3 linked regions of the Macaca mulatta genome follow. The protein of the gene in region 1 purifies or fractionates together with the protein of each later gene. This does not show direct contact. Links are inferred from orthologs where the notes say so. Each region holds a gene or a part of one and is shown in the gene's direction. Other genes may lie near its edges.

What was found. Proteins that work in one complex are often made in the same cells at the same time.
Region 2: the proteins of PARP1 (region 1) and H2AX purify together in Homo sapiens (affinity purification with mass spectrometry; 9 studies listed by BioGRID and IntAct, counting the BioPlex papers as one, with this or other methods). This does not show direct contact. The link is inferred for Macaca mulatta from reciprocal best matches to the Homo sapiens genes PARP1 and H2AX.
Region 3: the proteins of PARP1 (region 1) and TCF7L2 purify together in Homo sapiens (affinity purification with mass spectrometry; 3 studies listed by BioGRID and IntAct, with this or other methods). This does not show direct contact. The link is inferred for Macaca mulatta from reciprocal best matches to the Homo sapiens genes PARP1 and TCF7L2.

What each region holds. Positions count from the first base shown.
Region 1 is NC_133406.1:84,141,817-84,145,329, reverse strand, and holds part of PARP1 (poly [ADP-ribose] polymerase 1), read left to right. Parts: intron 1-937; coding exon 938-1,085; intron 1,086-2,905; coding exon 2,906-3,046; intron 3,047-3,513. UniProt on the Homo sapiens protein: Poly-ADP-ribosyltransferase that mediates poly-ADP-ribosylation of proteins and plays a key role in DNA repair.
Region 2 is NC_133419.1:119,778,693-119,782,107, reverse strand, and holds H2AX (histone H2A.x), read left to right. Parts: upstream 1-1,317; 5' UTR 1,318-1,392; coding exon 1,393-1,824; 3' UTR 1,825-2,907; downstream 2,908-3,415. UniProt on the Homo sapiens protein: Variant histone H2A which replaces conventional H2A in a subset of nucleosomes. Nucleosomes wrap and compact DNA into chromatin, limiting DNA accessibility to the cellular machineries which require DNA as a template.
Region 3 is NC_133414.1:125,090,717-125,094,662, forward strand, and holds the start of TCF7L2 (transcription factor 7-like 2), read left to right. Parts: upstream 1-1,138; 5' UTR 1,139-1,650; coding exon 1,651-1,839; intron 1,840-2,098; coding exon 2,099-2,165; intron 2,166-2,374; coding exon 2,375-2,499; intron 2,500-3,946. UniProt on the Homo sapiens protein: Participates in the Wnt signaling pathway and modulates MYC expression by binding to its promoter in a sequence-specific manner. Acts as a repressor in the absence of CTNNB1, and as activator in its presence.

The sequences.
Region 1 (3,513 bases):
CTTAGCAGATCACTGCCTCCAGGTGCATGCTAGCGTTCCCTGTCTCACATCACCTTAGCACACCTCTGGCATAGCTTAGCTCCTGTGTTAAAGTTCACGTTCCTATAGCTGATGCTCAGTCACAAATGAGATACTTTCTCAAGGGCAGAAACTGTGTTTTTAACCAAACTATGGTTGGTAGCACATATTAGGTGGTCAGTGTGTGTTGGAAGCAGTCTGTGACCTCTTGTATCCAGCTGACTCCCTGAACACAGGCATAGATGGAAAGAGCAGTTTCTTGATTGGACGAAGACCTGGGAGCACAGGCTCTTTCCCTGAGCTTCATGTATTTGATACTTATTGAGTGACCATTTAGAGCAAGGCCGCTTGTAAATCACTCAGAGTGAAGAGTGAATTGTGAAGAGTGAAGAGTGAATAGTGAATACCGTAGGGCTCTCTGCATTCATTTTTCCTTCTTCTAAAAAGGAAAGCAAATACTGTGATTTCCTTTTGGGTAATAATCTCCCAGTGTGTATGGTATTGGGGGTCTTGAGGTTCTGGAGTAGGCGTGTGATCCCACAGAGGCCTATTAACTCTCGAAGGGAACAACTCAGGAACGAGGCCAGGGAGGCTATAGTCATACAGCAGTTCCAGCGGTGGTTCCTGACCAAATTGGCCACTGGTTTGTGTTTTTGTTTTTTCTGGGAAAGATTTTTCTCTTAAAGCAGCCCTAATACCACCCCTATCATAAATGTAAAAGTACCGGAAATAAGTACTGTAGCAGCAATAATACTGTCTTTCATTCTGGAAGCCTCACATTTTTCTATTTTTTGTTACTCTTTATCATAAGAAGAAAAAAAGAGATTCTTTAATTTGGACAAGCCAAGTCCTTTTTGGTCTATGAGGTGGTTACTTCAAGGGAGAGCTAGCTTCTTAACTAAAACTTAATATTTTTTAGGAATTCCGAGAAATCTCTTACCTCAAGAAATTGAAGGTTAAAAAGCAGGACCGTATATTCCCCCCAGAAACCAGCGCCCCAGTGGTGGCCACGCCCCCACCCTCCACAGCCTCGGCGCCTGCTGCTGGGAACTCCTCTGCTTCAGCAGGTACAGCTCTTAGGGCCCAAGTCTTAGAATTGCTTTGCAGGAATTGTTTGCCCACTACTTTCTGGTGGTGTGGAGCTGGTGAAGAAAGTATCCATCAAGGGTCTCTCTTTGCTGACCCCACCATGGGGAAGCCTTGTCCTGCGGGGGATAGGCCTCTTCCCTTGGCTTGTTACACCCCCAACCACAGCAAGGTGGGAGGGTATTAAGAACATAGTATCGGCTGGGAGCAGTGACTCACACCTGTAATCCCAGCACGTTGGGAGGCTGAGGCAAAAGAATTGCTGAGGCCAGGAGTTCGAGACCAGCCTGGGCAATGTGGCGAGACCCCCATCTCTACAAAAATGTTTAAAATTATCCGGGTGTAGCAGCATGTGCCTTTAGCCCTAGATACTCAGGAGGCTGAGGTGGAGGATCCCTTGAGCCTGGGAGGTCAAGGCTGCACTGAGCTATGATCACACCATTGCACTCCAGCCTGGGCGACAGAGTGATACCCTCTCTCTAAAAATAAAATAAACATTGTAAAAGAACAAGTGACTCTTATTCTGGGAGGCTAGGAGAGGGGCTCCTAAGAAAGGCTAGGTCGACAGCCTTACCTGGAGTACCACGCAGGGTCTCCTGCCTGACCTCACTGCAGAGCAGCATCCCAGGCCTCACTCTCCAGGCCGCCCTGCACCCACCAGTCATCGTGACCCTGGTGTGATGCTCGAGTCTCTGTTGTATGCAGAGGGAGTTACTGATCAGCACTAGTGCGAAATGCCCCAAGCCAACCAAGACAGTGAGAGCAATGTATTTTTTTGGCAGGAGAAGTGACCCGCTGCTTATTTACTCAGAGACATGTGGCATAGTCTGATGGCAAAGGTCACAGTTTGGTGGGTGGAGGATGAAGGTTCCGTCCTTGAATATAAACCTGTTATTGACCTCCTTTTCATATCCTGAGAGGGGACCAGTGGTCACTGCAGTGTGTGTGGGTGGTCATCCCGAGTCCACTGTGCTGCTGGCAGCCTGGGTCCAGGTGCCCACATGAAGGGCCAGGTGGGGGCTGGCATTCTGACCCCTCCATGGAGGGTTCCCTCCTCTGCTTTCCCCTGACTTGCAATTCAGCATAAATCAATAATTGTGTTCTCTGGAGACCTCACCAGTTTCACTTAAACTGTCAGTGTTTCCTAGTTGTTTGCCCTCACAGGGAAGGCAGTAAGGACTTTTCCTTGCAGCATCTCCAGTTCTGGAAACGTGTCGCCAGCACTGTGTTGTTTGCTGTGAACAGAAGGCACACCCCTGTCCAGGCCTTTCTGGCCTGGCTCAGTGCACACCAGGCAGCTGCTTTTCGCCTAGAATCGGTTAGCTCAGCTCAGTGTGATTGTGCTGGCCACTCCTTTGAGGAACTATCATGGACATGTCTCATTTTAAAATGGGGTTAATTAATAAGAATTGCAGTTTGGGAGAATAACAGAAGGAATTGGGGGTTCATGTGACCTTACCCCTCTTCCCATCCTGGTCCCTCATCCGCAGATGCAGCCTTCCTAGCCTGACCATGGAGCGGACCTGGGGTAACCCCCAGCTGCCCGGCTCACACCAGCAAGGCTGGCCTGGCCATGGAGTGGCATTTTGTGGCTTGCTTCCTGCCCAGTCCTTTCTGTGTTGAGGAACATCTGTAGGTGCTCAGGTGGCAGCTTGCTGTCCCGTCCTGTTTTCTCGCAAGTGTATTTTCATAGGCTTTTCCCCAGGAGCTCCCTGCTTGGCTCGCCTGCTCCTCTACCTCCCCTTACTGGGGAGCAGCACCAGAGTTGGCCTTGCTGAATGATTCTCTCCTTTCATCCCAGATAAGCCATTATCCAACATGAAGATCCTGACTCTTGGGAAGCTCTCCCGGAACAAGGATGAAGTGAAGGCTATGATTGAGAAACTCGGGGGGAAGTTGACAGGGACAGCCAATAAGGCTTCCCTGTGCATCAGCACCAAAAGTGAGTTGAATCTGAATTTGTGCAACAGGGAAAATGCTTCTGTATCTTATGATTGTGATGACGAGTCAGTGAGGAAGAGTCGATCACAGCACTCCAAAACTGGATCTTATCATCATCGCTCTGGTTCTTTATGAAGGGAAACGAGTATTTGCCCTCAGTGTCGCTGCTTTGTACTATAGATTCACATGTGTTGCATGTTCCCAACTAAAGATGGTAAGCTACTACAGGTTGAGTCTCCCTAGTCCCGAAATCCAAACAAATTGCCTCAAAAGTCAACACTTTTTGAGTGGCAACGTAATGCTCAAAGGAAATGCTCATTGGAGCATTTCAGATTTCAGAGTTTTGGATTAGGGATGCTCAGTCAGTAAATACGAAGCAAGTATTTTAAGGTCTGAAAAGTTTCTGGTCTGAAGCATCTTGGATAAGGGAAACTGCTCAACCTGTATTCTCATCACTTCGCACTGCTC
Region 2 (3,415 bases), on another chromosome or scaffold:
ACTTATGACTTTCTGCAACTTGCTACTCTCCCTCTCCATCCTGTCTTTGCAGCCTCACAGGGTGGGATACAGAAGTTTTTTTTTTGCAGTTATCCACAGTCACATTTCAGAGTCCTGACTCTCAAGGAACTACTGGTTTTTGGGATAGAACTTGGGCCAGGGCTAGGGACACAGGCTCCACAGTGACCTGTTATTTGATTGTAAATTAAGTGTTCTGATTAGTAAGAAGTAAGCAGGGGGCCACATGCTCTCAATGGAGACAATAAAGTGTTGTCTATTTCTTATTGTTCCTGTAGGTATATTTCCTATATGGGCATTTTTGGGTGGATTGGGAGGGTAGGTGGGGGTACTTCCTCCAACAGGATGCCTATCTCTCTGCCCCACCAGACCCCGTCTAACAAGAAGTGAACAGAACTGAGACCAAACAGAACATATTGAATAAACATTTAAATCCTGATACTTCAGGTGGCATGGAGGGCCACAAAATTGAAGTTATCCTGTTTCCTGGCATGGGGTCAAACTTTCAAAGACACCAGGTACAGTGGCTCATGCCTGTAATCCCAGCACTTTAGGAGGCCGAGGCAGGAGGATTGCCTGAGCTCAGGAATTCAAGACAGCCTGGGCAACAAAACGAGACTCCGTCTCTACAAAAATAAATAATTAGCCCACTGTAGTGGAGCATTTGTAGTACCATCTACTCGGGAGGTTAAGCAGGAAGGATCCCTTGAGCCCAGGAGTCCGAGGCTTGCAGTGAGCTGAGATCACACCACTGCACTCCAGCCTGGGTGACAGCAAGCAAGACCTGGTCTATTAAAAACAAGAAAGAAAAGAAAGAAAGAAAAAGAAAACTTTAAGGGGTCTAATTTCTTCCCTTTTCCATTCTCCCTTTGTCAGGTAGGAGAAGGGAGTGTGGAGTGACCGGACCTGGAAAGGGTAGCTATAGTATTGACCCCTTTCCTTTAAACATCCTACGCCAGCACAGATTTCCCAGACGCTCTCTAGGTGGCCTCAGACTCCACCCCTTTTGTCTTCCGGTTCTGCCTTCCGACTGTAGTGTTTAAATCTCGCGCGCTTTACAAGGATTGGCTACATAAGCGGGTGTTTGGCCGTCTGCGTGCTACCCCGCCTCCTCGCCTTTTCTCCCCGGGCAAAAGGTTTTCAAATTCGACCAATCAGCGCGCGCTCCCTCAGCCGAGGCGCGACACCCAAGGGTTAACCGCAACCAACCGGAGGCGGGTATTGGAGAAAAGAGCCAATCAGGAGGGCGCAGAGGTGTGTCCTGGGGGCTTATAAAGGCGGCCTCACGGCGCGCGCGCGACAGCAGTTACACTGCGGCGGGCTTCTGTTGGGGTGTCTCTGAACCGTTGTACTTCACCGGTCTACCTCGCTAGCATGTCGGGCCGCGGCAAGACTGGCGGCAAGGCCCGCGCCAAGGCCAAGTCGCGCTCGTCGCGCGCCGGCCTCCAGTTCCCAGTGGGCCGTGTACACCGGCTGCTGCGGAAGGGCCACTACGCCGAGCGCGTTGGCGCCGGCGCGCCCGTGTACCTGGCGGCAGTGCTGGAGTACCTCACCGCTGAGATCCTGGAGCTGGCGGGCAATGCGGCCCGCGACAACAAGAAGACGCGAATCATCCCCCGCCACCTGCAGCTGGCCATCCGCAACGACGAGGAGCTCAACAAGCTGCTGGGCGGCGTGACGATCGCCCAGGGAGGCGTCCTGCCCAACATCCAGGCCGTGCTGTTGCCCAAGAAGACCAGCGCCACCGTGGGGCCGAAGGCGCCCTCGGGCGGCAAGAAGGCCACCCAGGCCTCCCAGGAGTACTAAGAGGGCCCGCGCCGCGGCCGGCCGCCAGGCCTCCCCATGCCACCACAAAGGCCCTTTTAAGGGCCACCACCGCCCTCATGGAAAGAGCTGAGCCACTTCAGACTGCGGGGCAAGCGGGCCGCGGCTCCCGGCTCCTTTCCCCTCCCATCGCCCGCCTTTGCCGCCCGGCCTCGAGTCCCCGCCCGCCCCCCTCCTGGCCTGCACCGCCTGCCGCGTCGGCCTCGGGCCCTGCCCCATCCGCCGGCCGCCCTCCGGTAGGGCTCGGGCCCTCTGGACGCGGCTTGGGCACTCTTCGGGGACCACCGTGGCGCGGAGGACCCGAGCCTGCCGGGGGGAGGCCGGCGGCGCCGCACCTGCTCGCCTCGGCGCTCGTGACTCAGCCAGCTGCCCCATCCTGAGTCGCTGAGGGGCTGCGGGGAGGCCGCAGCACCTTCTGGAAGACTTGGCCTTCCGCTCTGACGCAGGGCCGAGGTGGGCAGTCCAGGCCGAGAGGCCGGCGGCCCTGAAGGTGAGTGAGGCCCTCGGCAGCTGCAGCCAGGGTGTCCGGCACTCCCCCGGCGTGGTGCTTAGCCCAGGACTTTCAGACGTGGCCGCTGGCCTGGAGGCTTTGGTGGGAGAGACACGATCGCTGGTTTCGGTCTGGCGCCCCCTCTGCGGCCGGGACCCAGGCCTTTCACATCAGATCTCCCTCCATCTTCATTCATAGGTCTGCGCTGGGGCCGGGACGAAGCACTTGGTAACAGGCACATCTTCCTCCCGAGTGACTGCCTCCTACGAGGACATTTAGGGGAGGGCAGAGGCCTGCAGTTTGGCTTCACGGCTGGCTATGTGGACAGCAAGAGTCGTTTTCGCGGAAGCCGACTGGCAGCCAAGCCTGTCGGGCCTCCCCATTTCCCTTCCAGCAAACTCAACTCGGCAATCCAAGCACCTAGATACCAGCACAAGTCGGTTAATCCCTGTCTGGACTGAGCCTCCGTTGGCTTCCGAACTGGAATTTTGCAGCTAACCCTTCCAAGACTAGAACCTTAGGCATTGGGGAGTTTTAGATGAACTAATTTTATTAAAGGATTGTTTTTCTAAAAATGGAGCATTTGTTTTCATTTTGCAAGAGAGTTGTAGGATTAGTGACTTTCTATACTTTCCTGATAGTGGGGGTGGGAGGGGCATGCAATATAAATAGGCTCTACTGTTAACCGAAGAAGGAGCAAACCATAGGAATTTAAGATTATGGCTCTGTTTCTTGGTGTTCCTGCGAGACAATTTATTCTGTGTGAAATGAAAACTATTGAGGCAGAAGCAGAAAGGATGTACCAGGAGAACTTTGGGCAAAAGTCCCAGCCTCCGAGGTAAGGATGAAAGGGCTTTGTGTTTGTTCATATCTTCCCGCCAACCCCCCCCCACACACACACACAAAAACACCTTCAGAGCTGGTTTATTAGTAGAGTTGGTTACATTCAAAGGCTGTGGCTTGGACTTCTCTAAAGAGATGAAGCCCCCACATACTGAGGAGGCAAGGCAGTCATCAAGGCCCCAAACTGAGGCAAATCCCCGGAAGGCTTGAACCCTGCAGTTCAGTCTTCTGAGGTAATCA
Region 3 (3,946 bases), on another chromosome or scaffold:
AAGCCCCAGGTTTCCCATCTTCTCCCAGAGGTCTTCTAGCATTGGTTTGGTTAGCAATTTCCTGCCAGAGCCACCTACATCTTGATTATTTTGGTCAGTCTTTCGGGGATTTCATTTCAGACCCCCTTCGAGAAACACTGTAGCCCAACTGATCCCAGGGGCTGGTGAACTTTCGGTTTTATTTTCCCTGACGGTGTTAACGCCCAAACTTTTCACCTCCGAAGTCAAAAAGGACTTTGACTCTAGCTCATTTCCTACTACCTCCAACGTCAGTTTAAAAAAAAAAAAAAAAAAAGCAAAACACCACTCTACATTTAAAAGAATCATATATTATTCCTTCAGGGTACTTTTAATGTTTCTGACATTTAATATTTGTTTTTTGCATAAAAAGTCATTTCGGCATATTCATCCTAGTGGGACTTAACATTTCATGAAATGATCCACTACTAATAAACAAAAAAGGGAGGAGGGAGGCCTCATGGGTTAATAGTTTCTTTCATTGTAGATGACCAGGAACTTTGACCAGCCCCTTCACTTCCCCAAGCTCTCTGAAAGTGGAGGGTTGATCTTTCCTTTTGACCACTTCTGTTCATCCCGCCCAAGTGTGGCTGATTTCACTGCTGAATTAACCACCAAGCACCCCCCCACCCCCGCCCCCAGCCACCACTTTCTCACAATACTACCCTTCCTTTTCCCCCTCCCTTAAGATTTATTTCTAATATTTCTAAAGTGCACTTTTTTGGGCCTCTCCCCATCCCCGCCCCCCAAGTGGGCTTTCCTTCCGCCTTCCTCGGCTCGGATTCCTGACTTGGTCGCCACCCCCTTCTCCTCCTCTCCCACCCCGCATTGTCTTTCTGAAACCGCCCCCACCCGGAGCGAGTCCCTGCACCCTCGCCCAGAATCCCGGGCTCGCACACACTCCGCGCAGGCCGCTCCCCCTGCACACTCCTCCCTCCGTCTCCCCCCGGCTTCCCCGCCCCTCTCCTCCTCCTCCTCTCCCTCCTCCCTCTCCCGGCGCCCGAAAGGATCATTGTTAGCCGCCCCCGCCCCGCCCACCCCGGCTGTTTATTTATGCACACGTCACCGGGCCGGCCCCGCCCTCCGGCATCTCATTAAGGCAGTGTGTTCCTCTCGCCCTGTCAATAATCTCCGCTCCCAGACTACTCCGTTCCTCCGGATTTCGATCCCCCTTTTTCTATCTGTCAATCAGCGCCGCCTTTGAACTGAAAAGCTCTCAGTCTAACTTCAACTCACTCAAATCCGAGCGGCACGAGCACCTCCTGTATCTTCGGCTTCCCCCCCCTTTGCTCTTTATATCTGACTTCTTGTTGTTGTTGTTTTTTTTTTTTTTTTACCCCCCTTTTTTATTTATTATTTTTTGCACATTGATCGGATCCTTGGGAACGAGAGAAAAAAGAAACCCAAACTCACGCGTGCAGAAGATCTCCCCCCCCTTCCCCTCCCCTCCTCCCTCTTTTCCCCTCCCCAGGAGAAAAAGACCCCCAAGCAGAAAAAAAGTTCACCTTGGACTCGTCTTTTTCTTGCAATATTTTTTTTGGGGGGCAAAACTTTTTGGGGGTGATTTTTTTTTTTTGGCTTTTCTTCCTCCTTCATTTTTCTTCCAAAATTGCTGCTGGTGGGTGAAAAAAAATGCCGCAGCTGAACGGCGGTGGAGGGGATGACCTAGGCGCCAACGACGAACTGATTTCCTTCAAAGACGAGGGCGAACAGGAGGAGAAGAGCTCCGAAAACTCCTCGGCAGAGAGGGATTTAGCTGATGTCAAATCGTCTCTAGTCAATGAATCAGAAACGAATCAAAACAGCTCCTCCGATTCCGAGGTAAGAAAAGCCCCTCGGGCTGGTGGGGTTTTTTATCTGTTTCCTGGGCTTGGCAAATGTTGCTGAAAGGGGAGAAATCGGGGCTGGGGGCGGCGGCGGGGCCCGGCGGGCGGCGTGTGCGTGCGATGCCACCATTGCAAAAACTTGTAACCCTGTTTTTTCTACCCCCCCCCGACCTCGCCGATTCTTTTTCTCCCTCTTCTCCCCCTTCTGCGTGGCGTTTGCCCCTCGCCCTCCCCACCTCCACCCCTCCGGGAAGGCGGAAAGACGGCCTCCGCCTCGCTCCGAAAGTTTCCGAGATAAATCCCGGGAAAGTTTGGAAGAAGGTGAGTACGCCCCGCGCGCCCCGCAGCCGCCCGGAGCCGCCCCCCGGGCCGGCCGCCCCGCGCGCCCCGGCCCCGCGCCCGGCTCGGCCCGGCCCTGCGCCGGCCCGGCCGGGGCGCCCAGCCCCTCGGGGCACTTTCTAAAAAGTTTCTCCTCGCTCTCTCCCGCTCCGCGCGGCCGCCGCCGTCCCCTCGCCGCCCCGCCATGTTAGCGGCCAAGAGGCAAGATGGAGGGCTCTTTAAGGGGCCACCGTATCCCGGCTACCCCTTCATCATGATCCCCGACCTGACGAGCCCCTACCTCCCCAACGGATCGCTCTCGCCCACCGCCCGAACCGTAAGTGCCTCCGCGCCCGGCCCCCGCCCGCTGCCCGCCCGCCCGCGCCGCCCGCCGGGCCCCGCATGCGGCCCCTGCCCTGCCCCCTCCCCGCCTCCCCCTCCCCGCCTCCTCCCCTCCCTCCCTCCCCTCCCCCGCTCGTGGCCCAGGCGGCCCGAAACTCTCCAAACTTTTCTGCCTTTTGTGGACTGGATTTGTTTGCACTTCGCCACGTTCTTGCTTTCAGTTTGCTGCCTCGTGATGTTGGGGAGACCTCTCTGTCCAAGCAGGGCTTTGTTGGTGGGGCGGGGGTGGGAAATCCGAATAACTTTTCTTTTGCGCTCTGGTTCCCCCTCCCCCTTTGGTGGTGGTGTTTGTTTCTTCACCCTGGGAAGATGACTGTGTGGCTCTTTCTTTGCTCTCTCTCCCTCTCTCTCCTTCTCTTCCTTCCCTCTTCTGTGGCGTCTTGGGCTTTCCCCGGTTAACCCCTTGGCTGCCGCTGCGGTCCCCGAGTGACTGTGCTGCGCCCGACGCGCGGGGTAGAGAGTGGGTTTCCTTCAGGCGTTGGACTTGAGAACTGGCTAGCGCGCAGCGCCGGGGGCCCTGGAGAGGCTCCTTGGCTTTCTTTTGGGCGGCTATGTATTTACCTCTCTAGTGGCAATCTCTGGCTCTCGGCCCTCCTTCCCCCTTCCCCTGGAAGGTCACACTTCCCAGATTGGTCCCACCGCAAACTTGGGGGCTCTGAGGCGTCCTTTTCTTTGGCGACCCGCAGGGCCGCGAGCGCCCTGGGCGCCGTGGCGGGCTCGGCTGCCCGGCGCGCTGGCTGCGGGCTCTCCCGGGCCGCGCAGGGCAGCCGGGCTGAGTGGGGCGGGGAGGCCCCTGCGGCCCGGATTCTTGATTTGTGTGCAGCCGGAATGGACTCCTCTAAGCGGACTTGTGTATTTCTAGGGAATTTTGGCGCCTTGGGATGTATGGCGGGGTCTGCGCTCGCCAGCTTCCGTGTAGGCCCGTCGTGGGCCCTGGGGGGGCCAGAGACCAGGGTGTGCGGGCTCAAGGAGGTGCGGGGGCCGAGGGAGGCCGGGGCGCCTCTCCTTCAATGGAGTGGGCCGCCGATCGCCGGCCACCCAACTTTGGGGGCCCTAGCCAGCGCGGGGTGCCGGGCTCGGGGGGCGCTTCCTGCAGGGTCGGTCCCGCGCCCAACCCTGACATTTGTTAAGACGGCTCATCCCCTCCCCCACCGGCCTCTGCCCCCTGCCCTCACCCTGAACCCCTTCCTCCTCATCCCTCCCTCCCTCTTCTAAGAAGCCTGGATTACGAATCTCTGGACGCAGGACGCATTTGTTCCCGGCTTCCCGGGATTGTCATTTTACACCTTCTCTGGTTTGGTCCCCTACCCCTTATTTACACACACGACTTTTGTTTTTTCTTTTTCGGTAACTCTAGATAGCAATTTGAAATAATGCACCCA